Anolis sagrei: one gene and its partner. The protein of the gene in region 2 purifies or fractionates together with the protein of the main gene of each other region. This does not show direct contact. Links are inferred from orthologs where the notes say so. Each region holds a gene or a part of one and is shown on either strand. Other genes may lie near its edges. The genes, in order: IFT46 and CLUAP1.

What was found.
Region 1: the proteins of CLUAP1 (region 2) and IFT46 purify together in Homo sapiens (affinity purification with mass spectrometry; 3 studies listed by BioGRID and IntAct, with this or other methods). This does not show direct contact. The link is inferred for Anolis sagrei from reciprocal best matches to the Homo sapiens genes CLUAP1 and IFT46.

Annotation. Positions count from the first base shown.
Region 1 is NC_090027.1:43,555,667-43,572,017, forward strand, and holds the start of IFT46 (intraflagellar transport protein 46 homolog), read right to left. Parts: upstream 6,171-16,351; 5' UTR 6,112-6,170; coding exon 5,964-6,111; intron 3,127-5,963; coding exon 3,035-3,126; intron 1,934-3,034; coding exon 1,809-1,933; intron 1,317-1,808; coding exon 1,242-1,316; intron 1,152-1,241; coding exon 1,058-1,151; intron 208-1,057; coding exon 79-207; intron 1-78. Other genes in the region: ARCN1 (coatomer subunit delta), read left to right, coding at 6,421-6,423, 10,627-10,890, 12,524-12,703, 12,832-13,037, 15,027-15,191, 15,330-15,495. UniProt on the Homo sapiens protein: Forms part of a complex involved in intraflagellar transport (IFT), the bi-directional movement of particles required for the assembly, maintenance and functioning of primary cilia. May play a role in chondrocyte maturation and skeletogenesis.
Region 2 is NC_090034.1:26,669,299-26,685,360, forward strand, and holds the start of CLUAP1 (clusterin-associated protein 1), read right to left. Parts: upstream 7,129-16,062; 5' UTR 7,007-7,128; coding exon 6,985-7,006; intron 2,616-6,984; coding exon 2,504-2,615; intron 1,065-2,503; coding exon 980-1,064; intron 1-979. UniProt on the Homo sapiens protein: Required for cilia biogenesis. Appears to function within the multiple intraflagellar transport complex B (IFT-B). Key regulator of hedgehog signaling.

The DNA of each region.
Region 1 (16,351 bases), on a different chromosome or scaffold from region 2:
CTTCCCCTGCTGTGTGGGGCCACCCCCAAACAGCCCCCTCCATCCCTCCCTCCCTCCCTCCCTCTTTGCCCGGCTTACAGCCACGTTGTGCTGCTTGGAGTTCTCCGTCAGCCAGAGGGAGAGCACCGTGGGGTCGGACTGCTTCGTGGAGGGCTCATCCAGCACCAGCAGGCCCAGGTTGTCTGGCTTCCCGTCCGGGCGGGGGACCTGAAAGCAGCAGCCCAAGGCAGAAATATTAAAAAGTAACTAGGTGTTCTTAATTACAAAAATGTGAGTCAAGCACTGAAAGGGTTAAATGGAGGCAATCACTCCGCCAAAGCTGCACTTCAATGTAAGCAGGTGTGCCTGTAGCTTAGTAGCCCTCAGTGTCAGCAAACCTTAGTCTGAGAGAGGCCTCAGTATGATAGGCCTCAGTTTAAGAGAGACCTCAGTCTGTGAGAGATCTGTGTGGAAGATGGACCTCAATGTGTTAGTAGGCCTCAGTGTGAGAAGGCCTCGGTGTTAGTTTGCCTCAGTGTGAGAGAGGTGTCTGTCTTAGGGAGCCCTCAGTGTGAGAAGGCATCAGTGGGAGAAAGGCCTCAGTGTGAGGTAGGCCTCTGTGTTAGAAAGGCCTCAGTGTGAGAGAGTGTTCTGTGTTAGACAGCCCTCAGTGTGAGAGAGGTGTCTGTCTTAGAGAGCCCTCAGTGTGAGAAGGCATCAGTGGGAGAAAGGCCTCAGTATGAGAAGGCCTCAGTGTTAAGTTTGCCTCAGTGTGAGAGAGTGGTCTGTGTTAGACAGCCCTCAGTGTGAGAAGGCATCAGTGGGAGAAAGGCCTCAGTGTGAGGTAGGCCTCTGTGTTAGAAAGGCCTTAGTATGAGAAGGCCTCAGTGTTAGTTTGCCTCAGTGTGAGAGAGGTGTCTGTCTGAGAGAGCCCTCAGTGTGAGAAAGGCCTCTGTGTTAGAAAGGTCTTCAGTGTGAGAAGTCCTGGTGTGAGAAGATTTGGTGAAAGGAAGCCCCAGGTTGAAGGTCACTGTATGTGTCAATGTCCCCGACAGAAGTAATGAAAGGGACACTGTACTTTTAAGAAGGCATCGATGTCTCCGACAGCAGGGATGAAGTCAGGAATGAATGGCTTTAGCTTGTGCTCCAGGTCAATCATCTGTGCGGAATACCTGGGGAGGGAGAGGGCCCAGTGAGGAGGGGGCCCAGTAAGGAGGGGACCCTAACAAGCACAATCCTCCCCTGCCTGTGCTCCTGCTCACCTCCGAATGTACTGGAAAAGCTCCTTGACCTCCAGGGAGACAGGTAGGTAGTCGTAGTCTGCGGAGTTGTAAGCCCTGAGGAAAGAGGTAGCCATGATACAAGGGCCATGAAGCCCCTGGATATTGGGGGGGGGGGGGGGGGGGATGAAGAAGAGCCAAGCAAAAGCCACCTCCTGCACAAATCTATTGCTCTCTTCACAGAAAAAAAACATTTCCAGACAGATCCTGGGATATAGGGCTTTAAATTAGATTATAGAGTATGCACTGTAAGATAATCTGGGATAAACCAAAAACTTGGGATCACATCCTGAGATAGAGGGCCTGATGGCTGTCTGTCAGGATGCTTGCCAAGGATGGCCTTTGTGGGCCCTTCCAACTTTACGATTCTGCAACAGGCTGGATGGCCAACTGTCAGGACTTGTATTGTGCCTTCCTTCCTGGTAGAGAGAAGGGGGTTGGACTGGGTGGCCTTAGGGGTGTCTTGTTACTCTGGGATGTCGTCCTGCTTGGCAGAGATAAGGGAGTTAGATTGGCTGTCCTTGGGGGGGCCCTTCGTGCGGATGGTACCCCTCCAGAGGCGCCCCGTGCTCCTCGTCTTCGTCATCCTCATCCTCGGAGTCAGTCTCGGAGTCGTCCTCATCTTCGTCCTCCACCTCGTTCCCGCTGAAGCGGCGCTGGGGGCCCTTCTTCTCCTGCGGGGAGGAATAAAGAGGGAAGAAGAGGAGGGAGGCTCTGGGGTGAAACCTTCCCAACAGATTGTTGAATTACAAGCCTTGAAACACGTTTTCACCACAAACCACACTCTGCCCAGGTAATCCAACAAGTAGCAGTTTATTAAAAAAGAGTATATATATAAAAAAAATAAGAGAATAAAATTCAAAATAGAGAATCAAAGTCAAAAAGGTTATTTCCAAGATAGCCAAGACTCTCTGGGCAGAAAATCCCACAATATCTGCTTTGAATTGAATATATGGCACTGTGGACTCAGATAACTCAGTTCAAAGCAGATATTGTGGGATTTTCTGTCTTGATATTCTAGGTTATAGGGTTGTGTGGAAGGTCCCCAAAATTCCCTCAAATAGAGTTTACAGAGTCAATCCACAGAGAAATCCATAAACAAGATAACATGAATCCAAAGCAGGCAACCCATGCCACACAGGAACTAGGAGCAAGAACAAACATGAATTCCAGGAACATAGGAGTCCCCTTCAGGGTGAGAAAAACGGTATACAAATACTGTAAATAAATAAATAGGACCAAAAATGTAAACAAGAGCTGTTCACCTGATTAAAACCTTGCTCTCACAAAGGATTGTACCGGCAGGAACAACTTTAAAAGGTCTCCATCCCTCCCATGACATCATTTATCATGCACCTGCTCTCCCCCTCCTTATCTCTAATTCTCTGGGGAAAGTGAGTGTGTCTTTGTTGCATGCCCTGTCTCTGAAATTCCAAGCTCCTTGATGTAGACAAACCTTCATCTCCCACATTTCTCTCAGCCTACACTTCTTGCAGGGTCTCATGAGAACTGGTATTGCTTTCTCCAGCCTCGTGGGAACTGCCACTTCTATCCTCCTCTGGGCCATCCGAATCAAATTATTACAAATTGACCATCCAGTTACATACTACACAGTGTCAGGTAGTATCCTGGTCAGAGTCTAGGCTCTTTCTCAGTCTTGCTGCCACTGCGAGGAACTTTCCCACCGTCTGAACCTACCCCAGCATCCCCTTCCCTCATCTTTGAGCACCCAGGAGATGACCAAGCTGCAACACAGATGGCCATCCAGGACGGACCTTGCCTGCCACGTTGTGGACCTCCTCCTCATCGTCGTCGTCGCTGCTGTCCGGGGCCAGGCCCTTGTGTGGGGGGCGAGCAGGGCGTGGGCCTAGAAACAGAAAGGGCCCCAAGTGAGGCTGAGGAAGGGGAAGGCCTTGAAACCTTTAGGACCAACCTGGGCCAACTCAGGCCACCCCTCCAGGTGTTTTGGACTCTGACTCCCACTATTCCTAACAGCCTCAGGCCTTTTCCTTTTCTCCCCCAGCCTCCAGATGTTTTGGACTCCAACTCCCACCATTCCTAAAAGCCTCAGGCCATTTCCTTTTCTCCACTAGCCTCCAAATGTTTTGGACTCCAACTCCCACCATTCCTAACAGCCTCAGTTTGCATACTGCAAATAGCTTCTGGTCACTTCTGGAGTGAGAGAATCAGCCGTCTCTGAAGAGGTTGCCCAGGGGACACCCAGATGTCTTGCAATCCTGCGAGGAGGCTTCTCTTATGTCCCTCTTCATAGATCTGTCAGTGGCTTATGATACTGTCAACCACCGCCTCCTCCTGAGAAAAATGTCTAGTATCACAAAGGATGACCACCTCACCCGCCTCATAGGAAACCTGCTACAAAACAGGAACTTTTTTGTTGAGTTCCAGGGCCAGAGAAGCAGATGGCGGAAACAGAAGAGCTGCCCGCTTCAGGGGAGCGTGCTTGGTCCATCCATGTTCAACATCTACACAAATGACCAGCCACTGCCAGAAGGGACAGAGAGCTTCATCTATGCTGATGATCGTGCCATCACCACTCAAGCAGGGAGCTTTGAAATGGTAGAACAGAAGCTCTCCGAAGCTCTAGGTGCTCTTACTGCCTATTACAGGGAAAACCAGCTGATCCCTAATCCATCTAAAACACAGACATGTGCCTTTCACCTTAAGAACAGACAAGCATCCCGAGCTCTGAGGATGACTACCTGGGAAGGAAGGAATCTCATGGGAGCATTGCAGCGCACCCAAATACCTGGGAGTCACTCTGGACCGTGCTCTGACCTACAAGAAGCACGGCCTGAACATCAAGCAAAAAGTGGGCGCTAGAAACAATATCATACAATCAAAGAATCAAAGAGTTGGAAGAGACCTCCTGGGCCATCCAGTCCAACCACCTGCCAAGAAGCAGGAATATTGCATTCAAATCACCCCTGACAGATGGCCATCCAGCCTCTGTTTAAAAGCTTCCAAAGAAGGAGCCTCCACCACACTCCGGAGCAGAGAGTTCCACTGCTGAACGGCTCTCACAGTCAGGAAGTTCTTCCACATGTTCAGATGGAATCTCCTCTCTTGTAGTTTGAAGCCATTGTTCCGCGTCCTAGTCTCCAAGGAAGCAGAAAGGAAAGCTTGCTCCCTCCTCCTCCCTGTGGCTTCGTCTCACATATTTATACATGTGGAGGGAGCAAGCTTGTTTTCTGCTTCCTTGGAAAGCTGACTGGCACAACCTGGGGATCACAACCAGACACAGTGAAGACATCTGCCCTTGCGCTGTGCTACTCTGCTGCTGAGTACGCACGCCCAGTGTGGAACACATCTCACCACGCTTAAACAGTAGATGTGGCTCTGAATGAGACATGCCGCATTATCACAGGGTGCCTGCGCCCTACACCACTGGAGAAATCACACTGCTTATTTATTTATTTATTTACTTTGCTTGTATACCGCAGTTTCTCAGCCCGTAGGCGACTCAACGCGGTTCACAACAAGAGCAAAAGTCAATCCAACAACATACAAAATTTAAAAACCATTAACAGCATAATATACAGAATAATGACACATTAATAACAACACATTAACGTCTCGTAACTAAAATCGTGATCCAATTCGTCATCCATAATTCTGTTTCCTATATTCATCGTGTACATTGCACTGTTTATCCGAACGCCTGTTCAAACAGCCAGGTTTTTAGTTTCCTTCGAAACACCATTAACGAAGGGGCTGATCTAATGTCCATGGGAAGGGCGTTCCACAGCCGAGAGGCCACCACAGAGAAGGCCCTGTCCCTCGTCCCCGCCAGCTGTGCTTGTGATGCAGGCTTAGCCGGTATTGCACCACCTGACATCCACCGGGAAGTAGCAGCCAATAGTGAAAGGACCAAGGCAGAGATATCTCCAGCTCATCCCTTGTTTGGGTATCAGCCAGCACGTCAACGACTTAAATCTAGAAATCGTTTTCTAAGATCTACATAGACACTCGCCGGAGCACCCCAGCAAGCGAGAGTCCAAAAGTGGCAGGCTCAAACCCAGCCCAACACTACTGGAGAAATTACACTGCTTAGCCAGTATTGCACCACCTGACATCCACCGGGAAGTAGCAGCCAATAGTGAAAGGACCAAGGCAGAGATATCTCCAGCTCATCCCTTGTTTGGGTATCAGCCAGCACGTCAATGACTTAAATCTAGAAATAGTTTTCTAAGATCTACAGAGACACTCGCCGGAACACCTCAGCAAGCGAGAGTCCAAAAGTGGCAGCCTCAAACCCAGAAATTGATGATAAATGAGAGACAGCCTCAGGCCTTTCTCCCCCAGCCTCCAAGGGGTTTGGACTCCAACTCCCACCATTCCTAACAGCCTCAGGCCCCTTCCTTTTCACCCCCAGCCGCTTAAGCGTCCAAATCTAGAAATAGTTTTCTAAGATCTACAGAGACACTCGCCGGAACACCTCAGCAAGCGAGAGTCCAAAAGTGGCAGCCTCAAACCCAGAAATTGATGATAAATGAGAGACAGCCTCAGGCCTTTCTCCCCCAGCCTCCAAGGGGTTTGGACTCCAACTCCCACCATTCCTAACAGCCTCAGGCCCCTTCTTAAGCGGCTGGGGGTGAAAAGGAAAGGGCCTGAGGCTGTTAGGAATGGTGGGAGTTGGAGTCCAAACCCCTTGGAGGGTAGACCCAAGCCTGACTGCGGTGAGACCTGGCTGCGGTGGGCTGGGAGCGTAGATACTGGCCACATCCTCCGCCTCGTGCACTTCCAGGCTCTCATCGTAAGGCTGGTTCTCCACCAACCGCGTCTGCAACCCAGGCTCCGGCCCTGAAGCTTGACTAGGCCCAGACGCCGCCATAGCAACGCCTGCCTTCAAAAACAACTTCCCCGGAAGTGGCTCCGTTGCCAAGGAAGTGACACCAGAGCTGTGCTGAGCGGAAGGGGCGGGGCTTTTGACGCCTGCCTTCAAAACACAAAAAAAAGTCTCCCCGGAAGTGGCTCCGTTGCCAAGGAAGTGACGCTAAGAGGAAGGGGCGTGGCCTCCGCTGTCTAACTGCGCGGTGACGCCACTTCCGCCTGGGTCGACGTGGCTCGGGGCCGCCATCTTCTGTGTGAGGAGGACGAAGCGGTTGCTCGAAGGGAAGGCGACGAGGGAGACGCCGACGCCATGGTGAGCCGGGGCGGCCTGCCAAGGCCTCCGGGAGCCTCGCCTAACTCTTCCCCAGGCTTCTCTTCGGCCTAGGCCGGCGTTCAAGCCTTTTAGGGGAGTCACTGTGAGGAAATGGGCCTTCCAAGGCTTTGGACTCCATTTCCCAGAATCCCTGACCCTTGGGCAAGGCGGAGGAGGCTTCTGGGAGTTGTAGGCTTTTGGAGACAGTTGTGTTGCTGCTATTTTCTCCATTCCAGTGAGCGTTGCTTCTCTGCAGCTCTTGAGTAACTGTCATTGGGAAGTTGGGGTTCCATTCTGCACCAGTGTTTGGATTACAGCTCCCATGCTCCCCAAAATGGGAACTTCCAGGCTAAATTCAAAGGTCTGGCTTTAACCCTGAGGCCCCTTCCATACAGCTCTATAAAATCCACATTGAACTGCTTTGTGGAAGGGCCCTGAGTCCACACTGCCATATAACCCAGGCCAGAGCAGATATTGTGGGATTTCCTGCCTGATATCCTGGTTTATATGGCTGTGTGGAAGGGTCCTGTGTCCATACTGCCATATAACCCAGGCCAAAGCAGATATTGTGGGATTTCAGCCTGGTATCCTGGTTTATATGTCTGTGCGGAAGGGCCCTGAGTCCACACTGCCATACAACCCAGGCCAAAGGAGGTATTGTGGGATTTCCTGCCTGACATCCTGGTTTATATGGCTGTGTGGAAGGGCCCTGAGTCCACACTGCCATATAACCCAGGCCAAAGCATTTATTTGTTGTGTCAGGGGCAACCAGTCAATTATATTACATTTCTAACAGAACACTATTGGCTGTGGGATTTCCTCCCTGATATCCTGGTATATCTGCTTTGGCCTGGGTTATATGGCAGTGTGGACTCGGGGCCCTTCCACACAGCCATATAAGCCAGGATATTAGGCAGGAAATCCCACATTATATGGCTGTGTGGAAAGGCCCTGAGTCCACACTGCCATACAACCCAGGCCAAAGCAGATATTGTGTGATTTCCTGCCTGGTATCCATCAAGATTACTAAGATCGTCTGGAGGGGCCCTGCTCTCGGTCCCGCCAGCCTCACAAGCGCAGCTGGTGGGGACGAGGGACAGGGCCTTCTCGGTAGTGGCCCCACGACTCTGGAACTCTCTCCCGCCAGAGGTTAGAACCGCCCCAACAATCCTGACATTCAGGAAACAGGTGAAGTCGTGGTTATGGGGACAGGCTTTCAAAGAATGAGACAATGATCTGGATGGAAGACGGCGTATATTCGATTTTAGTATGATGACTGACCACGGTAGTTTTAATACTGCTTTAATTGTTTTAATTTGCTTTAAGTGTACTGTTATGTTGTGTATTGAGGCCTTGGCCTTTATAAGCCGCATCGAGTCCTTTGGGAGATGCTAGCGGGGTACAAATAAAGTTTAATAATAATAATAATAATTATCTGAGTCCACGGTCAGATAATGTGGGATTTTCTGCTTTGGTATTTTGTGATATAGAGCTGTGCGGAAGCGCCTATGGCCATGTGGACTCTGAACCCTTCCACACAGCCATATAACCCAGATTATCAAGGCTTCTTCTTTGAACTGGTTTATCTCTTTTAGAAAGAAGCTCAAAACATGGTTTTGGGACCAGGCCTTTGGACAGTTGGTTTGGCAGTATTTACAGTGCTTGAACTCTGACAATGACAGGCTTTGGACTGAGTCGTCAGTTGCTAAATCAGATTTGGACTTGGCTATATGATGAATAATAATGTTTTTATTGTATTTAATCCAGTGTTTTAAATATATTTTTATCTTATGTTTTTTTCTCTTGTGTAATGTTATTGTATTTGTGTTCTAAGTCACAGATATTGGCCCCTTCCACACAGCTGTATAACATCCACATTGAACTGGATTACATGGCAGTGTGGATTCAGATAATCTAGTTCAAAGCAGATACTGCGGATTATTTACCTTGATATTCTGGGTTATTTTAAACAGAGGCTGGATGACCATCTGCAAGGTGTCCTTTGAATGTGATTTTCCTGCTTCTTGGCAGAAGGGGGTAGGACTGGATGGCCCACGAGGTCATCTTCTGTTCTTCTTGTAAAGGAAATTCCACTATCTAGCTCTTTTAGCAGATGAATGTACTCCTCTTCACATAAACCTGAGACCTCATGGGCCATCCAGTCAAGAAGCAGGAATATTGCATTCAAATCACCCCTGACAGATGGCCATCCAGCCTCTGTTTAAATCCTTAACAAGAAAGAACATTATTCATCTGTGAACATTACAGCCTCTTCCAAAGAGGAGTATATTCATCTTTATAGAAAGAAACAGGTATATCCATTATAGTGTGAATGCAAGTTTCATGTTTCTCTGTATATACTATACTTTATTAAGTGCTAACATTTTTTGCATGAAATTTTATATATATATATATATACACACACACACACACATACACCGCATACATATGTACATAAATACACACAGATATAGAACTGCAGCCATTTAAAATCCTAACGTAATTTTGTTCTAATGTTGAAATCCTTAATACTTGTTGCCACCAAATTTCCTGATTGATATTTAGATGCTTTCAACAGCCAATAGTTTTTTATTTGGAAGAAAGGAGGATAGATTTTTGTGTCGCCCTTAGGTTTTAAACAAAACGATCTGTTTACATGTGTTGTGTGTTTGTCCTTTTGTGAGTAATGTTAGTTGAGTAAGTGGTGGCGATTTCCCACTGGTTCCTGCTTGCATGGCCCCTCTGGGCAGAAACTGTATTTTGAAAGACACCGTGTGACTCTGGGGCCTTCCACTCAAAATATCAAGGCAGAAAATCCCACAATATCTGCTTTGAACTGGGTTCCATGAGTCCACACTGCCATACATTCCAGTTCAAAGCAGAAAATGTGGGGTTTTATTCAGCTGTTTGGGAGGGGCCTCTGTGAAAGGAGTAGGGTGGGACTTAGCCACGTATAAATATTGGAAAGGAGGCCATAAAAAAGATGAAGCAGGTCTTGTTTTCTGCTGCCAATAAAAACTAGGACTTAATGGAGCCATGGGTTCAAAGGATAGGAAAGGAGATTTCACCTGAACTTCCTGACTAAGAAGAAGAGCTGTTTGATAATATTGTAATGTGAAACAATATAATACTACTAATAATAATACAATAGTATAATTATATATTTTATATCACATGTAATATTACTAATAATATTACAGCATAATCATATAGTAGGTAAAGGTTGCCCCCTGACATTAAGTCCAGTCATGTCTGACTCTGGGGTGTGGTGCTCATTTCTATTTCTAAGCCGAAGAGCCGGTGTTGTCCATAGACACCTCCAAGGTCATGGGGCCGGCATGACTGCATGGAGCGCCCTTACCTTCCCGCCGGAGCAGTACCCATTGATCTACTCACATTTGCATGTTTTCGAACTGCTAGGTTGGCAGAAGCTAGGGCTGACAGCGGAAGTTCACTCAGCTCCCTGGAATTGAACGTGCAACCTTTCGGTCAACAAGCTCAGTGCTTTAACACACTGCACCACCGGGGGCTCATTATTATATAGTTTATATATTATATAATAATATTTTATATTACATGTAATATTATTAATAATATTACAGTGTAATCATATAGTATGATATAGTAATATATACTACTAATATTGTGCTATGGTAAGAATATAATATATTAATGTATTGTCAAAGGCTTTCATGGCTGGAATCACTGTGTTGTTGTAGTTTTTTCGGGCTATATGGCCATGGTCTAGAGGCATTCTCTCCTGACGTTTCGCCTGCATCTATGGCAAGCATCCTCAGAGATAGTGAGGTGACCTCACTACCTCTGAGGATGCTTGCCATAGATGCAAGCGAAACGTCAGGAGAGAATGCCTCTAGACCATGGCCATATAACCCGAAAAAACTACAACAACCCAATATAATATATTGTATTTACATACTACTTATAAGCTACTCTGAGAAGGGCTACATATAAATGTCATAAATAAATAATAAATTCAATAGTGGAACTCTCCGCCTTGGAGTCTGGTGGAAGTTTCTTCTTTCTTTGGAGGCTTTTAAGCAGAGGGTGGTCATCTGTTGGGGATGCTTTGATTGTGCTTTTCCTTCCTGGCAGAAGGAGGACCCTCTTTGAGATCCCTTCCAACTCTCATTATTATGCCATGATTCTGTGATGGGAGCCTCTCCTTCCTCTTCCCTCCCGCAGGTGCTCTTGGCCGCCGCCGTCTGCACCAAGGCCGGGAAGGCCATCGTCTCACGCCAGTTTGTGGAGATGACCCGGACGCGCATCGAGGGGCTGCTGGCGGCCTTCCCCAAACTCATGAACACCGGGAAGCAGCACACCTTCGTGGAGACGGAGAGTGTGCGCTACGTCTACCAGCCCATGGAGAAGCTCTACATGGTGCTCATCACCACCAAGAACAGCAACATCTTGGAGGACCTGGAGACGCTGCGGCTCTTCTCCCGAGTGGTGAGAGTTGTGGGGACGTGAGGGGCGGGCCCAGGCTCATTCACATGGCAGGGAGGAAGCAATGTCCCTGGGGCTGGTCTTGAAACCGTTCTGCTCCAGAGGAAGTCCTTGCTGGCATCTGCTGGGTTTATGGGACTTGGCAGGGAAGCGATGCGGAGAAGGCAGCCATTCCACCTGTGTTTAATGGGGAGGAAACTCTGTTGTGGATTCATACATGATGTTGATTGCTGTAGTGAGAGATATAGAAGGGAAAGGAAAATGGTGGCTGCTTACTGTATATACTCAAGTATAAGCCTAGGTTTTCAGTCTTTTTTTATGCTGAAAAGATCTCCCCTGGCTTATACTCGAGTCAAGGTTATTTATGATTTTACTTTGTTGTTATTATTACATTTATTATTTTATTATTGTTGTTATTTTTACATTTATTATTTTACTCTATTATTGTTATTGTTACATTTATTATTTTACTTTACTGTTATTACATTTACTACTCTACACTATTATTATTATTATTGTTATTATTTTACTCTATTTATTATTATTGGAAGGATATGTAAGCGTATTTACATTGAAGAAGGTTACAATAATGGTTTAATCAGAGTTGGACAGTCTTATCTTGAATTACAGTTTTATGTAAATATTCAAAAACGTTTAACCTACTGATGCCTAAATTAATATAATTTTATTGGCATCTATTTTTATTTTGAAATTTAACAGTAGCATCTGCATTTCCCACCTTTGGCTTATACTCGAGTAATATATATACATATATATTTATATGTATGTATTATATTACTCGAGTAATATAATACATGTAATATTACTAATAATATTGCAATATAATGGTATAGTGCAATATAGTAATATATAATACTGATATTGTACTATGCTAATAATATATTGTATGAAACTATATATTGTAAGCCACTCTGAGTCCCCTTCGGGGTGAGAAGGGCGACATAGAAATGCCATAAATAAATAAATAAATATTGTTTCTCTAGAACACAGGTTCCTAAAAAGGAGGAATGCTCTGTCTCTTTATATAGTATTATTTATTTTATTTACAGTATTTTAAAACATGGATTTGGGACCAGGCCTTTGGGCAGTAGAAACAAATCTATGCAACATTTCGGAAAGACAATGACTGGAATGGCAATTCGACGGATGAGACTGTTTTACTGTTTTAATGATTATTCTACTGTTTATGGATGTATTTTAATTTGATTTATGTCTAACTGTAATTGTATAATTGTAATTGTTTGTGCTGGCATTGAATTTTGCCATTACCTATGTGGAAACCGCTTTGAGTCCCCTTCGGGGTTCGAAAAGCGGTATACAAATGTTGTAAATAAATAATAAAAATAAATATATCCCGCCTTTCTCAGCCCGAAGGCTACGCAAGGTGGCTTACAGTTGGCAGCAATTTGATGCCCCACTAAACATAAAATACAGTTTAAAAGCATTTAGCTTATAATATAAAACTATACAAAAACCAATAAAAAAGATACATCATCAGTGTCTCCTTCCTAAACTCAGTTTCCAGTCGTTCTGTAGTTCCATATCACCGATTACGCTGCATTTGCAAAAGCTTGCTCAAAGAGCTGGGTTTTGATTTTTCTCTGCTTCCACTCAGATCCCAGAATACTGCCGAGCGCTAGAAGAGAACGAGATCTCGGAGCATTGCTTTGACCTAATATTTGCCTTTGATGAGATCGTGGCCCTCGGCTACCGAGAGAACGTCAACCTGGCCCAGATCCGCACTTTTACCGAGATGGACTCCCACGAGGAGAAGGTCTTCAGAGCCGTCCGGGAGGTAAGCCCAAGGCTTCCTCCGCTGTGTCTCCCCTTTGATTTTCTTTCCTGACATCAAGTTTGGCATGGGTGAACTGCTTTGTTCTGGGCATGTTGGGAATCAACTAAGTGTCTCTTTCTGATGTTCAGACACAGGAGCGTGAAGCCAAGGCCGAAATGCGGCGGAAAGCCAAGGAGCTGCAGCAGGCGCGCCGGGACGCTGAGCGCCGAGGCACCAAAGCACCAGGATTCGGGGGGTTTGGCAGCTCTGCCGTCTCAGGAGGGACCACGGCCGCCATGATCACAGAGACCATCATTGAGACCGAGAAGCCCAAAGTGACTCCGATCCCATCCAGGTATGAAAGTGCCAGATTCCTACTACAAGCAAAGTGGTTTTGGAGGGAGCTGAACAGGGCGTCTAGGTGGGGTTGCCTTTGAAGATAGTCCCGAAGCTTAAATTAACAACAGGTTGCTAACAGGAGTGGCTCTAAGGGAGCACACAACTTCTCTGTTGCGCCAGCTCCACTGGCTACCGGTTTGCTACCGAGCCCAATTCAAAGTGCTGGCTTTGGCCTATAAAGCCCTAAACAGTTCTGGCCCAACTTACCTGTCCGAACGTATCTCCCCTTACAAACCATCAAGGACGTTAAGATCATCTGGGGAGGCCCTGCTCTCGGTCCTGCCTCCGTCACAAGTATGTTTGGCGGGGACGAGAGACAGGGCCTTCTCAGCGGTGGCCCCTTGCCTATGGAACGCCCTCCCCAAAGAGATTAGATCGGCTTCTTCGCTCCTAACATTTCGAAAAAAACTCGAGACATGGCTGGTCAAGCAAGCATTTGCAAACATTGAGTAATGGACATAGGAAAACGGAACAACTCTACGATGAAATTGGACAATGTTTTTATTGAGGATTTACCGATTTATGTTTTTACTGCTGTTGCTATGATTTTATTGATGTTAATGTTTTAAATTGTATTTGGATTCTGTGGCATTGAATTTTGCCTTGTAAACCGCCTCGAGTCTCCGCAAGGCTGAGAGGGATGGTATACAAATAAAGTAAATAATAATAATAATATACATCACACAGTCCCAGATGCTTGGGAAGTGTTCAACTTGTGATTTTGTGATACGAAATCCAGCATATAGATCTCGTTTGCTGTGACATACTGTGCTTTTGTGTCAATAATAATAATCCCATTGCACACAATGACATAGTAAATGGTGTGCTTTATATAAAATATAACAATAATAATAATAATAACAATAATAATAATAATAATCCTATTGCACACAATGGCATAGTAAATGATGCCTTTCTATAAATAATAATAATAATAATAATAATAATAATAATAATAATGTATACATCACACAGTCCGAGATGCTTGGGAAGTGTTCAACTTGTGATTTTGTGATACGAAATCCAGCATATAGATCTCGTTTGGTGTGACATACTGTGCTTTTGTGTCAATAATAATAATAGTCCCATTGCACACAATGACATAGTAAATGGTGTGCTTTATATAAAATATAATAATAATAATAATAATAATAATAATAATAATAATCCTATTGCACACAATGACATAGTAAATGGTGCCTTTCTATAAAATATAATAATAATAATAACAACAACAACAATAATAATGTATACATCACACAGTCTGAGACGCTTGGGAAGTGTTCAACTTGTGATTTTGTGATACGAAATCCAGCATATAGATCTCGTTTGGTGTGACATACTGTGCTTTTGTGTCAATAATAATAATAGTCCCATTGCACAGAATGACATAGTAAATGGTGTGCTTTATATAAAATATAATAATAATAATAATAATAATAATAATAATCCTATTGCACACAATGGCATAGTAAATGGTGCCTTTCTATAAATAATAATAATAATAATAATAATAATAATAATAATAATAATAATAATAATGTATACATCACACAGTCTGAGACGCTTGGGAAGTGTTCGACTTGTGATTTTGTGATACGAAATCCAGCATGTGACATACTGTGACATACTGTGCTTTTGTGTCAGTAAAATAATAATAAATAACTAAGTCATAGAATAATAGAGTTGGAAGAGACCACGTGGGCCATGTAGCCCAACCCCCTGCCTTGCAGGAAAAGCACAAACTCCCCCTGACAGATGGCCATCCAACTCTGTTTAGAAGCTTCCAAGGAAGATGCCAGGTCTGCATCCTTTGCTGGTGGGGTTACTCTTGCTTGGTGGGACCCCCACCATACGGCGTAGGGAGAAGGAGAGGGTTACAGAAGGGCCTCTTTTTGGCTCCTTGCTGGGCAGCAAAGGATCTCTCTATTGTCCTGCTCCATAGGCCTTCTGGCTCTAACAAGGCACTCAAGCTTGGTGCCAAAGGGAAGGAAGTGGACAATTTCGTGGACAAGCTGAAATCGGAAGGAGAGAACATCATTGCCTCTTCGATCGGGAAACGCTCCTCGGACGCAGCCGCGGTCCTTGCTCCGCCTGTTAACATGGAGAGGTGAGGAGCGCGGAGCCCTGGGCGGCCAAACAAGGAGGGCCTTTGGGGTGGCTTATGGGAGGAAGGCCTGGGGCACCTTCTTGCTGTCCAGCGGCCAAACTGATGGGGCTGCTGTGACCCTGCTGCTCCCCTCTTCAGCGTGCACATGAAAATAGAAGAGAAAATCTCCCTGACCTGCGGCCGAGACGGGGGCCTCCAGAACATGGAGCTGCACGGCATGATCATGCTGCGGATCCTGGATGAAAAGTTTGCCCGGATTCGCATCCATGTTGACAACGAGGACAAGAAGGGGGTGCAGCTCCAGGTAGGTGGATCCCCAAGGCTTTGGCCTGTTGTCCGTCCTCCAAGGGCTGAGCCCTCCTAGCTCTGCTCCACTCCCAGGAAAGTCCAGCCTCTCTTTCTAGGGTCAAGAGGGCAGGGTGCCTTTCTCTTTGCTCTCACTCGATGCTAAAACTGGCCTGTGGCCGGAGGATCCGTTTAGGGATTGGTTGCCCACTTTGGGAGGAAGATCCAGGGCTCTGCTTTTGCCTAGAGGGCCAAATGGAAGCGAGCCATCACTCCAGGCTGGAGCCTTCCAAACATTTCATGTTGGTGACACACATTTTAGGCTGGCATCATTTTGCAACACAGTCATTCAGGGTTTTTTTTAGCAAACCAAAAGTTAAGCCCTACTGTAGTAGTAGTAGTAGCAGTAGTAGTAGTAGTAGTAGTAGTAGTAGTAGTAATATCTCTCCCCTTATGAGAGATATAGACACATACACAGACTGTAATAAGGAAGTATATGGGAACACAACACATCTTATTATTATCTTTTATTTATAACCCAGGAGCCCCCAGTGGTGCAGCAGGTTAAACCACTGAGCTGCTAAACTTGCTGACGAAAGGTTGGCAGTTTGAATCTGGGGAGCAGGGTTAGCTTCTGCTGTTAGCCCCAGCTTCTGCCAACCTAGCAGTTCAAAAACATGCAAATATGAGTAGATCAGTAGATACTGCCTTGGTGAGAAGATAACAGCGCTCCATGCAGTCATGCTGGTTGACCTTGGAGGCGTCTACGGACAACACCGGCTCTTCAGCTTAGAAATGGAGATGAGCACCCCCCCCCCCCGAGTCAGACATGACTGGACTTAAAGTAAAGGGGAAACCTTTACCATATCATATCA
Region 2 (16,062 bases):
TAATCTTATCCAGTTACTCACTCTTGTACATAAAACTTCAGCTGAATGTACCCTACACAATGACAATCAAATAAAGCTAATAGAGAGAACAGAAACAGTATAAGATTTAGTTCAGAGAAAATATACTTTATAGCACAGTACTGTATCTCCAGTGAGGATAAAATACTGATCTGCCAATGCAATGAATTGGGCATATTTCCTTCTTCACGCCTTCTGATTCTGCCAACTGTATATGGGAGGGGGAGTACCATTCAAGGACTGATGTGCCCAACTTCTTTCTCCTCTATGTACTATCTAGCAAGATAACAAAACGACTGGCAACAACTATAACCTTCACCCCAGGGGAATAAGTCGCTATTTAAAAGTCCATTAAAAATTCTATGTTTTTCATGACTGAATTATATAAGCCTAAGAGCAAATGCAATTTGAAAATTTGGCATCCATCTTTAGCCCCAGTCTCATGATATTAGATTTGTAATCATTTGCTCATTTTTCATCTCTATGTATTCTGTTGTTTGTTGTTGTTATACTTACTCATATGAGAACTTGTACTTGTTCTCGGACTTTTAAGTGACTTACAAGAGTTTAAGCGTATATAGCTAGAAATATATATATATAATGCAACAGTTAAAAATATAATTAAATAATAAAATGAAAGTGTTATACAAATTCTGAATAGACCTTTCCCACCTTCAAATTGCTGCTGAAAGAAAAAAAGCTCTTTTACTTGCCTGCACAATTACAGTGCCTGTCTAAGGTCTCTAGGAAAGGACTTCCAGAGCCTGGAAGAAACCATGAGATGCCCATGTGAGGGTGCTGGGACAGAAGATCTGAAAACATGGGCAGCTCTTATACGGAGATAATGTCCTTCAGAGAACCTAAGTCACATATACATTTGGTATTTTAAAAAGGTATATAAGCTATGGCAAATATATCAAGCACAGTATTTCATGCTAAATTCTAAAATAAAATGACTCACCATAAATTGAGCAACTGCCTTAATGAAAAAAACCCGGTCTTGCTCCGTCTCAACATCTGAAGGTATATCAGACTGAGGCTCATATCTGAAAAAGGAAATATCTGCAGAGTTGAATAAATGCTTATTTTTATGGCAGTGTTGCATTTTTACTGCATTTCCGCCACTGGTACTGTTTCTCTTCAAAGTGCCTTGGAGTAGAATTAGGGCTCATTAAAAACATAAAACCCAACACGGACCAATCCACAACAAGGAACAGTAAGATTTGCAACACAGATTGGCAAGAAAAAACATTAAAGGGATCCCCTTCTAGCAAACTCACAAAAACTTGGCAGTCTCCCATCCAAGTAGCACGTACAACTGACCCTGCTTAACTTCCAAGATAATAAATAACAACAACAACAACAACAACAACAACAACAATTTTATTATTGTATCCTGCCACCATCTCCCGGGAGGGACTTGAGTTGGCTTACACGTGGCACAAGGTGCCTAAAAACAGAACATAAAATGAAAACAATTTTAAAAATACAATTAAATACAACATATGGACATTTAAAACATCAACTAATACCCAATTAAAAACAACATTCATCAACCAATGGCTGTAAGCTTCTATAAATATGGCCAGGAAGTAAACAATCAAACTGGAAATGGGATCTGATGCCTTTAAAGTTTTTAAAGCTTGTCATAAGATGCTATTATTTTTTATTAAAATGTGGGCATTCTAGCAGCATCTTTCATCTTGAAAGATCAGTTCACAAAGTTCAATTCAATGCAACCCAGCTTATATGAATATGACTGGACTTGGCAGCACACACAACAAGGCAAGCCATTTCAGGTTATTATGGAAGGCAAAACTTGGGTCAAGCTTACATATGTTGTCACCAGTCTTTATTATTGAAGCACACCAGGATGAAGGTTTATCTATTTTATATTTACCTAGATTAGATTCAGTCCTGAGAAATTCTAACACAACTAACTGCTCAAAAAAGTAAACTACTTGGATGGAGAAAAAAAATCACTATGTTTTACGATACTTTCTGGTGGAAACCAAATCCCAGTAACCTATGCTTGCCTTTCATATAATAAAAAGTCTGACTTTCAAAGCAAAATTGAAAAATGTGCGCTTTAATTCTTCATACTAATAACAAATTAATTCCTCTTTACCAGATAAGTAGTTTATCATCATTTTCAAAAGAAATGTGTTACAGAGTACTGCCATAAAATTACTCTGATGTCTAATTTTAAATATAAGGCCATATTAGAAAGCAATTTTAATCTGAAGAATATGTTTGATTTAAAATCTTGCGAAGAGCTAAAAGTTATAAAATCTCAGTATGCTGAGACTTCGTGATCATTTTAAAATTTGAACCTATTAGAATTACATTTTGATCCTGGAGGTCTTTTAAGAGACTACAAATCTAAAGTTCATATTGAAGAAAAGCACTTTTTCACAGACGGAGGTATTTAACAGAAATCACTGTCACATTTCCTCTGATATTCAATTGAAAGTTAATTACCAACCTTTTCACCAGCCAAAGAAGTATCTCTGAAACCAGCATGAAGTTTGGCGTGCGAAAATTCTCCATTGAGATAAGCCGGGGATAACCCAGCGCCCTCATCATCTCAGTGAAATCTTTAGAAACAAAGATATTATTTAAGTTCATGCAGGAATCATACTCAATCTCACGCACACAAGTCTTGGTAAGGTGAGTTAACTAGGATTTAATCAGAGGGTTATAGAAGCATCAGCACCTCATTACTTCTTTAAACTTTTCAGCAGAAACAGAAGAAAAAGGAGGCCAAAAAGAGAAAACGAAAAAGAGAAATATGTACATAAAAGTGCAATGAGTTCCACATTGCTATTAAAGATGGATGCAATGTTTGTTAAGTACAACACAGATTTAGTATCCCTTATTTGAAAGGCTTGGAACCAGAGGTATTCCATTTTAATTTATTTTTTGGATTTTTTTCAAATACTTGCAAGCACACAATAAGACATCTTGAGATGAAAACCAGGTCTATGTTTATGTTTCATATGCACATCATATACATAACTTTAATGTAATTTTATACACAATATTTGTAATAATTTTGTGAATGAAAGAAAATTTGTGCACATGGAAAGATAAATAAGATAGATAGATAGAATAGACAGATAGATAAAATAGATTGCATAGATAATATAGTATAATATAATATAGTATAATATAATATAATATAGATAGATTACATAGATAGGCTATATAGATTAAATAAATGTTGAATTCCAAAATGCAGAAAAAGATGGATAGATAGATTAGATAGACAAATATAGAATTTCAAACTGTGGGAAAAGAGAGATTAGATAAAACAGACAGATTACATAGGTAGGCAGATTACATAGATGAATAGATGAAATAGATTAGATTAGATTAGATTAGGATAGATAGATCGATAGATAAATAGATTACATCAGTGGTTCTCAAACTGTGGTCCATGAATCACAAGTGGTCCACAAGAATGAAAATATGGTCTGCAGCCTCACCATTACTACAACGTTGCCTTGAAACCACACAGCAAAAAGAGCTGTTGCTGAAACCCTCTTAGGCAAGGCAAGGGGAATATCAAGAGGGGAGAGGCTGACTATCCATGAAGATTACTACTACCACATCAGTGCTAGATTATTAAATATGGTTTTCTGTGGGTAAGCAGATGATGATGATAATCATCATCATCATCATCATCATCATCATCATCATCTTTATTTATAACCCACCACCATGTCCCCAAAGGGGACTCAGGGCGGTTAACATGAGGCCAAGCCCAAAAATAATACAACATAATTAGACACAAAACAGCAACAACAACAAAAAGGCGACTACTGAATGGCATATGTTCTGTATCAGGGACTAGAGCTGCAATTTTCTGATTCAACATCTCAAATAACCAAACCAAATCTAAAGTTGACCAAAAACTGATACATAACCCTTTTGGTACTAATCGTAGAGAGTTGTCCCCTGTTCAAAGTGGTCCCTGGTCAAAAAAAGGTTGAGAACCACTGGATTACATAGATAGATCACATAGATCAGTGGTTCCCGACCTTTTTTTTTTATTATCAGGGACCACTTTGTTGTTAGCAGGGACCAAAGGGTTCAAGAATAATAAATAAAACTGTGTAATCTAAAAATAAATTTTAATCAAAACTTTTAACATATTCATTAAACTTAATAGTAACATGAAATAAGAGTACTATTACAATATTTTAAAAAAGAACATTTTAAATAGAAAATTAAATTTAGTTTGCATCAATGTGATTTTTGAGCTTGCACCTTCCTTACAAATAGGGTACTCCTGGGGCTAATATTATTGCTCAAAACTACAACCACATCATTATTTACTTTCAATCGATTCCTGGACTTGTTTTTAATTACCAGCAAAGCAGAAAACCCTTGTTTGCATAAAGTTGTGGAGAAGAGCATAAGATAGTGCAAGGCAATTCCTTGAATTTTAGAATAAAAAAATCACTTTTTTGCACCAAAACTCCTCAAGAGAATCAGATTCAAACACGTCCTTGCAGTTTCTATCATTTTGAAATTCAATGAGCTCTTCCTTGATTTCTTCTTAAGCCTCTCCATTTCAGTCACCATTAAATAAGTAAAAAATTAATATGAATATTGAGGGTTCACAGTCAGTAAAACTACTGGAGCCGTTGAATCACTAAACAGCAAAACAGAATCACTGACATAGTCGAGCAAGACAAAAGAATGTGTACGACTGACTGAACGATCACTTGCCCTCCACCCCAGACTCCTGACTGGCCTGATGTCCTACTCGCTGACGTTGCCCACCTAGCAACAAATTCATTAAAATGAATAAAGGTTTAAAATTTTAAATGTTTTGCGGATCATATTTTAGTTCTTGTGGACCACTGGTTGGGAACCATTGACAAAGACAGATGGACAGACAGACAGATATCTATACATCCATGTACTGGACTAGATAGCCCACAAAGTCTCTTCCAATTCTATGGTTATATAGATTAGACAGACAGACAGACAGACAGATAGATTACATAGTCAGTGGTTCTCAACCTGTGGATCCCCAGGTGTTTTGACCTACAACTCCCAAAAATCCCAGCCAGTTTACCAGCTGTTAGGATTTCTGGGAGTTGAAGGCCAAAACATCTGGGGACCCACAGGTTGAGAACCATGGACATAGATAGATATAGATAAATAGATACATTACATAGATAGATAGATAGATAGATAGATTGATGGATGGATGGATAGAGACAGATTACTATGATAGATTTTTTTTTCATGTCAGGGGCAACTTGAGAAACTGCAAGTTGCTTCTAGTGTGAGGGAATTGGCCGTTGGCAAGGACATTGCCTAGGGGACTCTCGGATGTTTTGATGCTTTATCATCCTTGTGGGAGGCATCTCTCATGTCTAAACATGGGGAGCTGGAACTGAGATGGGAGCTCACCCCATTCCCCAGATTCGAACTGCCAACCTGTCGGTCAGCAGTCCTGCCGACACAAGGATTTAACCCATTGTGCCACTGGGGGCTCCACACAAAGATAGATTACATAGATCTAACTATTTATATATATGTAATCTATCTGTGGTATATCTCAATGGTGGCCCCTCACCTGTGGAATTCTCTACCCAGTGACATTAGATTGCCCCCCTCCCTCTTGTAGTTTAAAATGAAACTCAAAACCTGGTTATGGGACCAAGCGTTCAAACAGTAGAGGAAGCAATTTAGAATGAGGCCCAATTTGTGTGAATGACAATGGACTGACCTGGACTATGATTTCAAACCTGTGTAATTTAAACAATGTTTTAGTAATTTTAAAGCATTAACTAATTGTTTTAGTTACTTTTATCATTTATAACTGTTGTTAGCATTGGTTGTGAAGCCAACCTGCGTCCCCCTCCAGGGGCAAGAAGGGCAGGATACAAATATGCAAAATAAATAAATGTGTAATCTATCTATTTACCTCTATCATCTATCTATCTATGTAATCTACCTCCTACAAAGATCGATTACATAGATAGATTACATAGATAAACTATATATAGATTACATATAGATAGATAGATTACATAGACAGATTACATAGATATCGATAGATTACCTATACCTACATAGATATTTATATAGATAGATTACACACACACACACACACACATATATATATTTCTCTCTCTCTCTCTCTCTCTATATATATATATATATACTAGCCGTCCCCTGCCACGCGTTGCTGTGGCCCACATGGGGGTTCTGTGTGGGAGGTTTGGCCCAATTCTATCATTGGTTGGGTTCAGAATGCTCTGTGATTGTAGGTGAACTATAAATCCCAGGAACTACAACTCCCAAATGTCAATGTCTATCTTCCCCAAACTCCACCAGTGTTCACATTTGGACATATTGAGTATTTGTGTAGTTTGTTCCAGATCCATCATTGTTTGAGTCCACAGTGCTCTCTGGATGTAGGTGAACTACAACTCCAAAACCAAAGGACACTGCCCACCAGTATTTTCTGTTGGTCATGGGAGAATTGTGTGCCAAGTTTGGTTCAATTCCATCGTTAGTGGGGTTCAGAAGGCTCTGTGATTGTAGGTGAACTATAAATCCCAGCAACTAAAACTCCCAAATGACAAAATCAATTTTTTTAGTGAAGGACATACATTGTGTTGTTAGGTGTCTTGTGTCCAAAATTGGTGTCAGTGGTTTTTGAGTTCTGTTAATCCCACAAACGAACATTACATTTTTATTTATATAGAAGATAATCTATCTATCTATCTATCTATCTAGATAGAGGATTCGAAAATGCGGGGAAAGAGACAAGTTAGATAAAACAGGCAGTGAAGCAGATCCGGGGCGGGCCTCCTTCCCCATTCTCAGGCCTCGGGGCCTCTAGATTTCCTTTTTATACCCTCCAGCGAGGAATAATAACAATAATAACAATAACAATAATAATAATAACAACGATGATGATGATGCCATGGGACTCACTGCGGAGGTCGCGGAAAGACATGGTCCCTGTAAGGGCGCCAACTGGGTCTCTGTGTCTGTTCGTTTCTCTCTCTCCCTCGGCCAGGCTTCCCCGCGTCGCTTTCCAGGACTAGGCCGCGTCGCTATGGCAACGTCGCAACGGCGAGGCGCCGGGCTCAAACTTCGGCGGAAAGCGGTGCTTTGCAATGCCAGGGCCTGAAAGCAAGGACATTTTTAACACAGGCTGGACAAACCCAAGACTGGAAAGGAAAGGCCTGCCTGGTGTTAAAAGGGATAAAAAGGCCAGTGTTTAAAATGGGTTGTTATGTACATTTAAATATAATGATAATAATGGATATATAATACAGTGATAATAATATATTATCTGTATATTGTAATCTGTAATTGGTTAAATGGACGAACCCAGAGGGTGATTCTCCCCAATGCTTCCTCTTCATCCTGGAAAGAAGTGACAAGCGGAGTGCCATAAGCAGGGTTCCATCCTGGGCCCGGTCCTGTTCAACATCTTTATTAATGACTTAGATGAAGGGCTAGAAGGCAGGATCATCAAGTTTGCAGACGACACCAAATTGGGAGGGAGAGCCAATACTCCGGAGGACAGGAGCAGGATTCAAAGGGATCTTGACAGATTAGAGATGGGCCAAAACTCACAAAATGAAGTTCAACAGTGACAAATGCAAGATACTCCATTTTGGCAGGAAAAACGAAATGCAAAGATACAGAATGGGGGACAATGCCTGGCTCGAGAGCAGTACGTGTGAAAAAGATCTTGGAGTCCTCGTGGACAGGAAGTTAAACATGAGCCAACAATGTGATGTGGCGGCAAAAAAAGCCAATGGGATTTTGGCCCGCATCAATAGGAGCATAGTGTCTAGATCTAGGGAAGTAATGCTACCCCTCTATTCTGCTTTGGTTAGACCACACCTGGAATATTGTGTCCAATTCTGGGCACCACAATTCAAGAGAGATATTGACAAGCTGGAATGTGTCCAGAGGAGAGCAACTAAAATGATAAAGGGTCTGGAGAAGAAGCCCTATGAGCAGCGGCTTAAGGAGCTGGGCATGTTTAGCCTGAAGAAGAGAAGGCTGAGAGGGGATATGATAGCCATGTATAAATATGTGAGAGGAAGCCACAGGGAGGAGGGAGCAAGCTTGTTTTCTGCTTCCCTGGAGACTAGAACGCGGAACAATGGCTTCAAACTACAAGAGAGGAGATTCCATCTGAACATGAGGAAAAACTTCCTGACTCTGAGAGCCATTCAGCAGTGGAACTCTCTGCCCCGGAGTGTGGTGGAGGCTCCTTCTTTGGAAGCTTTTAAACAGAGGCTGGATGGCCATCTGTCAGGGGTGATTTGAATGCAATATTCCTGCTTCTTGGCATTTGCAGGGCCACCCGTCCTTTGCCTCAGTCACTGGGACAGTACAATGCCACCCATCACCTGGCATGACTATCTGTACACAGGGAGGTCATGCTCCACTGTCCAACAATTTATTTATTTATTTATTTATTTATTTGCAACATTTCTACCCGGCTCTTCTCAACCCCTGGGGACTCAGAGCGGCTTACACTGGCAACAATTTGATGCCGCAAATATAACAAATTACAGCAATATAAAACAATAAATAGAACAATAGATTAAAAACAATTAAATATTATTATCACAGTCATATAGTCATTTCCATTATTATCACAGTCATATAGTCCAGTTCGATGTCCAAAGTGCTATCATGCCTGCTGGACAAAGGCCTGGTTCCAAAACCATGATTTCAGTTTTTTCCTAAAGGAAAGGAGGGAAGAAGCCAAACTGGTTTTGCTGGGGAGTGAATTCCACAAGTGGGGGGTCACTACTGAGAAGGCCCTGTCCCTCGTCCCCACCAGACGCATTTGTGAAGCTGGTGGGACCAAGAGCAGGGCTTCGCCGGTTGATCTTGAACTACAAGGTGGAACGTCGAAGGAGATACGTTCGGACAAGTAAGCTGGGCCGGAGTCGTATAGGGTTTTATAGGCCAAGACCAGCATATACAATAACAATAACATTTCCCCTTTCCCAGGAACAAACTGCTTAATCCTGTCAACATGGACAATATCTATGCTTTTGACTCAATGGACAGCAGGGCCAAAGGTGCTGGACTTATTCGCTGGGGACTCATATCACAATTATCTTTATAATAAAACACATGGGACCTGATGACCCCCTTTGTTTGTCCCATTAAGACCTCTTCACACTTCCTTTGTCTCCCAGACAACCCTGCCCCCCATCAGCCATTGGAGAGCGGGAATCTGAAGACTACTCGGAAGCTTAAGCTAGTCCAATGCTCGGCAGGCAGGCTGCTCACAGGAGCAGGGTACAGGGAATGTACAACTCCCCTGTTAAGCCAGCTCCACTGGCTGCCTATTAGATTCTGAGCACAATTCACAGTGCTGGCCTTGACCTATAAAACCCTAAACGGCTCTGGTCCAGCTTACCTGTCCAAATGTATCTCTCTCTACGAACCCCCAAGGACCTTAAGATCGTCTGGAGAGACCATGCTCTCAGTCCCACCACCATCTCAATCACGGTTGGTGGGAACGAGAGACAGGGCCTTCTCAGTGGTGGCTCCTTGGCTGTGGAACTCCCTCCCGAATGAGATTAGATCTGCCCCCTCCCTCATGGCCTTCCGGAAAAAGCTAAAAAACCTGGTTATGGGATCAAGCATTCCCTAGATAGAGGGTTTTAATGGACTGGTTTTGCGGATGGCAATGGACTGAAGATGATTTTAATTGACTATTGAACGAATGGCTGTGGATTATTCGGAGGATGATATGAAATGGCAACATGTTTTTTATGTATTTATAACTGTTTTTATTGGCGATTAAATGTATTTTATGTTGTGTATTGTTTGGCACCGAAGGGTGCCTGTTAGCAGCCTGAATCTCTCCTTGGAGATGAGAAGGACGGGATAGAAATTATCTAAATAAATGGAGCCCCCGGTGGCACAGTGGGTTAAACCCCTGTGCCAGCAGGACTGAAGACCGACAGGTCATAGGTTCAAATCTGGGGAGAGTGCGGATGAGCTCCCTCTATCAGCTCCAACTCCTCATGTGGGGACACAAGAGAAGCCTCCCACTAGGATGATAAAGGATCAAAACATCCAGGCATCCCCTGGGCAACGTCCTTGCAGACAGCCAGTTCTCTCACACCAGAAGCGACTTGTAGTTTCTCAAGTCACTCCTGACACGACAATATATATATATATGAAGCAGGGAACAAAATCCTATTGGCTACAAACCCGCCTCTGCAGGGAATCCTCCTTCAGCTGTTCATGACGTCGACAGAGCCTAGGTGGATTACCGCAAGCTGGCATCACTTCATCTGATTTTAATAAATTACCTCGGTGGCGGCTTCTTCAACTTGGTGAGATTTATTTGGGAACACTGGGTAGCTTCTATGTCTCACCAGGCACACAGATCCACGGGTGGCCTGCTGCCAATACCAGCATTCGCTTATTGGATCTCGGTATCCACCCTTCAGGTTTTGCTATCCAAGGCCCTGATCTTACTATCTGCGGTTGTCTTAAATTGCTCAATTTCACTTGTGTGCTGTGTTGCTATGTACATATAAATTTAATAATATATAATATAATAATATACAATGCAATAATAAATATATATAATAATTAATATAATATATAATAATATATTATATTATTGAAATGGCAAGGAATAGGTTTTGAGGAAAAGAGACAAAGAGAGGTCCGGAGGTTTGAAAGCATGGATTTTATTTACCAGCTGGGGCCTGGTGTGGAGTCAACTCCCAAAAAACACCAGAGCAACTGAAATAGGTGTGGACTGTGGCTTTTATAGTTTTCCAGGTTCAAGCAAACAAAGAACATGCTACAACATACAATCATCATCATCCCTACGTCATCTGAGCATCATAAGAATATCAGGTTCTAACTTCCACATGCAAAAAGGCATGTCTTGCTGCAGAGCAAGCATCTTACACTCATCCATCAAAGGGGCCCTCTCTGACCTGTCAAGAGGTGCTCCTTAGTACCAGCCCGTTGCTCCTTAGTATGGGCTTCTCGGACAGGCTTATCTCTCTTCTCTGGAATGTCACCCCTCCCTCTTCAGCCCCTTCTGAAGACAAGCAGTTTGCTTGTCCGTTAGCATTCTTTCTATACACAGAGGGAACTAGATTTTTCTATGCATTTCAGTGCTTATAAAGTACATATGATTTTATGCATAAATCAATAAATATCTATATTTCTAATATCTCCTCATCATTATAATAATGTTTCTAATATCATAGGACCTTGGGAAGAGCCCAGTATTCAGAGGCAAATCCCAGACACTTGGACCAAATGTGCATGTGTGCTGTGTTATGATGTACATGTTAATAATAATAATAATAATAATAATAATAATAATAATAATGTAATAGTACCTCTAATATCCCAGGCGCTTAAGAAAAGCCCAGTATTCAGAGACAAAGAACACACACTTGGACCTAGCGCGCATGTGTGCTGTGTTGTTATGTACATGATGATGATGATGATAAAAATAAATAAATAAATCATTCAGCTGCTATGGATCAAAGCTTTTGCATTCCTTTTGCAACAAATTGGAAGGATAGGCTTTAAAGTTTCCAAGAGCCCCAGGATTCTCTGAATTATAAATAAGATGATGCTATCCTTCATAGGTTTGAATCCGGCTGTAAATTTCTCTTCGTTTGCAATCAAAGTTCTAGCTGGCCTTTTCTTCCAATATAGCCCAGCTTCATCTATAATACATTGAAAACTTTTTTTTTTTGCATAGCCACTATCAATTATTTTTGAAGCACTTTAAAATACACTTCTATAGAGACATAGGTTGAAATAACTGAAATCTGTGATATTTGCTTAACAGTATTTACTAACAATAACTTCTATGATGCTTGCCATAGATGCAGGCGAAACGTCAGGAGAAATGCCTCTAGAACATGGCTCTATAGCCCGAAAAACCCCACAAGAACCTAACTTCTATGATACTTGCTAACTAACTCTCTCATTTAATCGTATTATTAATTTTGCGTTCTTGTTTTTAATTTCGTTTGACATTTGGCTTTATACTTAACAATTGTACTTACTGTTGAGCAAGATATGCTTGGTGTGCAGTCTATATGGATATGCCTTCCACAACAACAACAACAACAACAACTTGGGATACAACATAGTACAAACTAAATTGGATTCTTGCTTTACTTGCAAATTAAGAATCGTATGAATTCTTGTACTACATTTATAACAGCATCAAAGAGTTGTAATAAAGTTAAATTACAACTGTTTGATACGGTTATAAATGCAGCACAACTGCTATACTTGGCGGGGATAAGTTCCCAGATAATAATAGCCACATTGAGCCCCCTTGGGAGAGAGGCAGAATATAAAAAAAGAAAATAATGACAACAACAACAACAACAAATACATGGGCATTTTGAAAATGCACGAACTGCTTATATTCTTAAACCTAGAGAATGTCTTTCATACCCAGCCAGTTTTTAAACACAAATTTTAAACTTGTGTCCTTTGTTTATTCACTGTTTTGTGTATTTTAACATATATTTTATAGAAATACATTTTCATATGTATCTTTTGTAAAATACATTTTAATATGTGTATTTATGGAATTTTTATAATGTGTATGTGTTTTAATTATTCTATAACCCCCCTCGAGCCATGAGGACAGGCAGGAAAGAATTATTATTATTATTATTACTACTACTATTATTATTACACAATCTATCATTTAAAAGATTTAAGTATTTTAGCTACACATGAATATTTTGATTCATAACAGCTTAAAGAACATATGTATGTATGTTTTATGATAGCTTACCTTCAGTCATATGCTACATGCTTTCCCACCTCTTTATCTTTTTGCTCCCCTCTTCCTCCTTTTTTTTTTTTTTTTGAATGTATATTTTAAGCATCACTTGAAAATTCAATAATGGATAGATAGATGGATGCAGGAGTAAGATTGGGGTCTATGGCCCCATAAAGGACAAAATCCAGCCCGCTCGGCCCGACTATCTTTCCGAAATGTTATCACACTTCTTGTGATGAAAAATGTATTGCTTGGGGTCTCTCACACTCTCAAGCTTTCTGAATTATGCAGGAGACTTGGAATAACCTCCTCCTCTATGGGATCATTACCAGTCTACTGTTTCTGGACTTTGCAGGAGTTCTGCAAATCTTGCCTGCCTTCTCTCCGAAGGGCAAGCAGCATAAATGGCAATATCAGCTCTCATACGTAAATCTTGAATTTTGACAGCAATCTATGTGGATTGCACAAAAGAGCTCGTCTTCTGTACTAAAATATCTCAGGTCAGGACAGCGATACTCACACCATTTGAAGCCAAGGCAGTTGCACAACTCCTATATATGGCTTTTCGCTCAGATTCTTAAGTTGATTTTCTTAATGTCCTAACAATGGTATGCTTATTTTAAAGTTTGAAATCTCTTAACCCTTAACTCTGATATCCTTGAACGCTTTTCTTGAACTGGTCACTGAACCATAATAAAGTGAACTTGACTTGACAGCAACCTAACCCTCTCGCTAGCCTTGGGAACCATAAGGGGTAGTGAATATGGGGTCATTTTATGGCCTTCCTGAATAAATAATAACAACATCAGTAATAATAATAGTAATTTATACCACACCTTTCTCCCTGTGGGGACTCAAGGTGGCTTTTCTGGTTGTGTCCAGTCCTAATATGTGGCGTACAAATCCAAAAGTCAACCCTTCCTTTATTATTCTCTATTGTTGCTCCTCCCTGATGTCAAGAAAAAGGTGAACTATACTTTGTAGGAAAGCAGACAGACACTAATCTTTCCTATTCCAGGTGAGCTACATTCCCAAAATTTAAAATTTAGAAATTTTGGCATAGACCTCCATGGTTTTATCCAGCTTGCCTTTCTGTTGCCCAATTACACTTGTAACACAATTTTTGTTCCTGGGTTATAAATGTGATTTCCTAGTTGGTTATATCATAAAACATGGGGAAAGTTGATTAAACTGCACAAACTTTGCTTTTGTGCAAGGGACATCCCGTAGCATTTTTTGTTCTAGTTTTTCAGTGAAGATCTCATTATAGAGTCGCAACCAAATCAACCAGGTTTGTGGCATAAAAATTAGGTTTCTGGAGAATAGCAACTACTTTCAAAGTAAGGACCACACAATTAAACAGGACATTACACTTTCCAACAGAAACAGAACATTTTTTAAATTTTGTTACATAGTGTTATTGCGGTTTTACGTCATGCACTGACTCATATTTTTTTGTGCATTTCTTCTCCCAGAACTCACTGGATCCTATCCATTTGCATTAATAATTCGGCTTCTGTCCCCCCCCCCCTCCCCCCACACTTTTGAACGATTGCTCCTTTGAAATATTCTCTGTTCTTTCCTGCAGCGTCAGTATTCATTTCTGGCATTACATTAAAGGGCTGGGTTTTTTTTTTTTCAATGAAAGAAGGCAATGCGGGGAGATGAGTCGGGAAGGTAACTTGGAATGGAGTTGTTCTCTGGATGAATGGAGTTTGTGCAAAAGGCACAAAGAAACAGATCAAAACCAATCCATGAAAGACACGTCTGCATGTGATCCTCAACATGTTATGTATACCACTAGGAGATAGGATTTGCAAAGACTTTGGATAATAATGTGGTTGAAACACAAAGCACTGCCAGTGGCACTGAAATGCTCATTCCTGCCTCACAGTCAAAGGTGCAAATTGTTGAATATCCTAATCTCAATATCCGATTGTTCCCTATTTTACAACCCAATGCACAAAGAAGGTACAAAAAGAGGAACAGGCATGTCATTTCTCCTGGAGAGCACGCCTGGGATATGCCACAGAATGCAAAGTGGATGACGAACTGAACAAATGAAACAAACTTTACAATGAACTTTTGAGTGTTCTTGTGCCCTCCAACACTTCATAGGTGAAAGCTTGTCACATTGCCAGGGCTCTGCCGTTATTTGCGGCAGAGGTGAATCAAGGAAACACCCAGTTTGTGTTATTTTTTTTAAATTAAAACAGCATTTACTTTCTGGCTGTTTCAATAGTCTAAAACATAAAACATAAAGATAGCACTCAGCCACAGAATAAACAAAAACTGAAAGCAAATGCTACACCGTGGTCAAAGGGTCCAGTCCAGTGGTCAAACGCTGAGAGTTCAATAAACAAAGCCCAGGGATCAAGAGTCTATACCGTAGTCAAAAGCCAGTCCACAGGTTCAAGTTTCCAGGGTTCCAAGATTATAGGAGACTGGTCAGGATACTGAAAACCCAACAAATCTGAGGTAAAACCAGCAGCATCTGCCACCAAAATAAGACAAATACTTTTCTCCCAAAGATTCATTCCAAGGCTCGCTCCTTATACCCAGAAACACCCAGCTGCAACCTATCTCTTGCATACCTCCACCCTTAATTGCTTTCACCCATGAACTCTTACTTACAGATTACTAAACCCTTTAGAATTAATACTTACATTCACCCTTCCTTCACCAACCACCATCAACTGCAGAACATAATACATGACAAAGGTAAAGGACACAATTGGCCAAGCAACACCAGAGTGGGGCCAAGATGAGAAATGTTATGAATGGACAGGACAGACAAGTGAGGAGAGGCTGCAGCAATTTGCTCTTGCCTGAGACTAAGCAGAGGCTAGATGGCCATCTGTCAGGGCTGCTTTGAATGCAATATTCCTGCTTCTTGGCAGGGGGTTGGACTGGATGGCCCATGAGGTCTCTTCCAACTCTATGATTCTATGAGGCAATGGTGAAGAGCATGTTTCCACTGCTTCTTCTTCTTTCCTTCTGAGTTACCATATTTTTTTTTCACTTTGAACTCAATTTGCAGCAACTGAAATAAGCTGAGGACAAAGGAGGGAAGTGGAAGGAGCTGGGAGAAACTGGGACACTTAAAAGCAGTTGGAAAAGTGGGATGACAAAGATTTGTTGAGACTGTCGCTGCCAAATGGGGACATCTATGTGCCCTTGCTCTGTCCAAAGCTAAGATTAGCTTTGGTTATGTTTTCATGGTTTTCAACTAT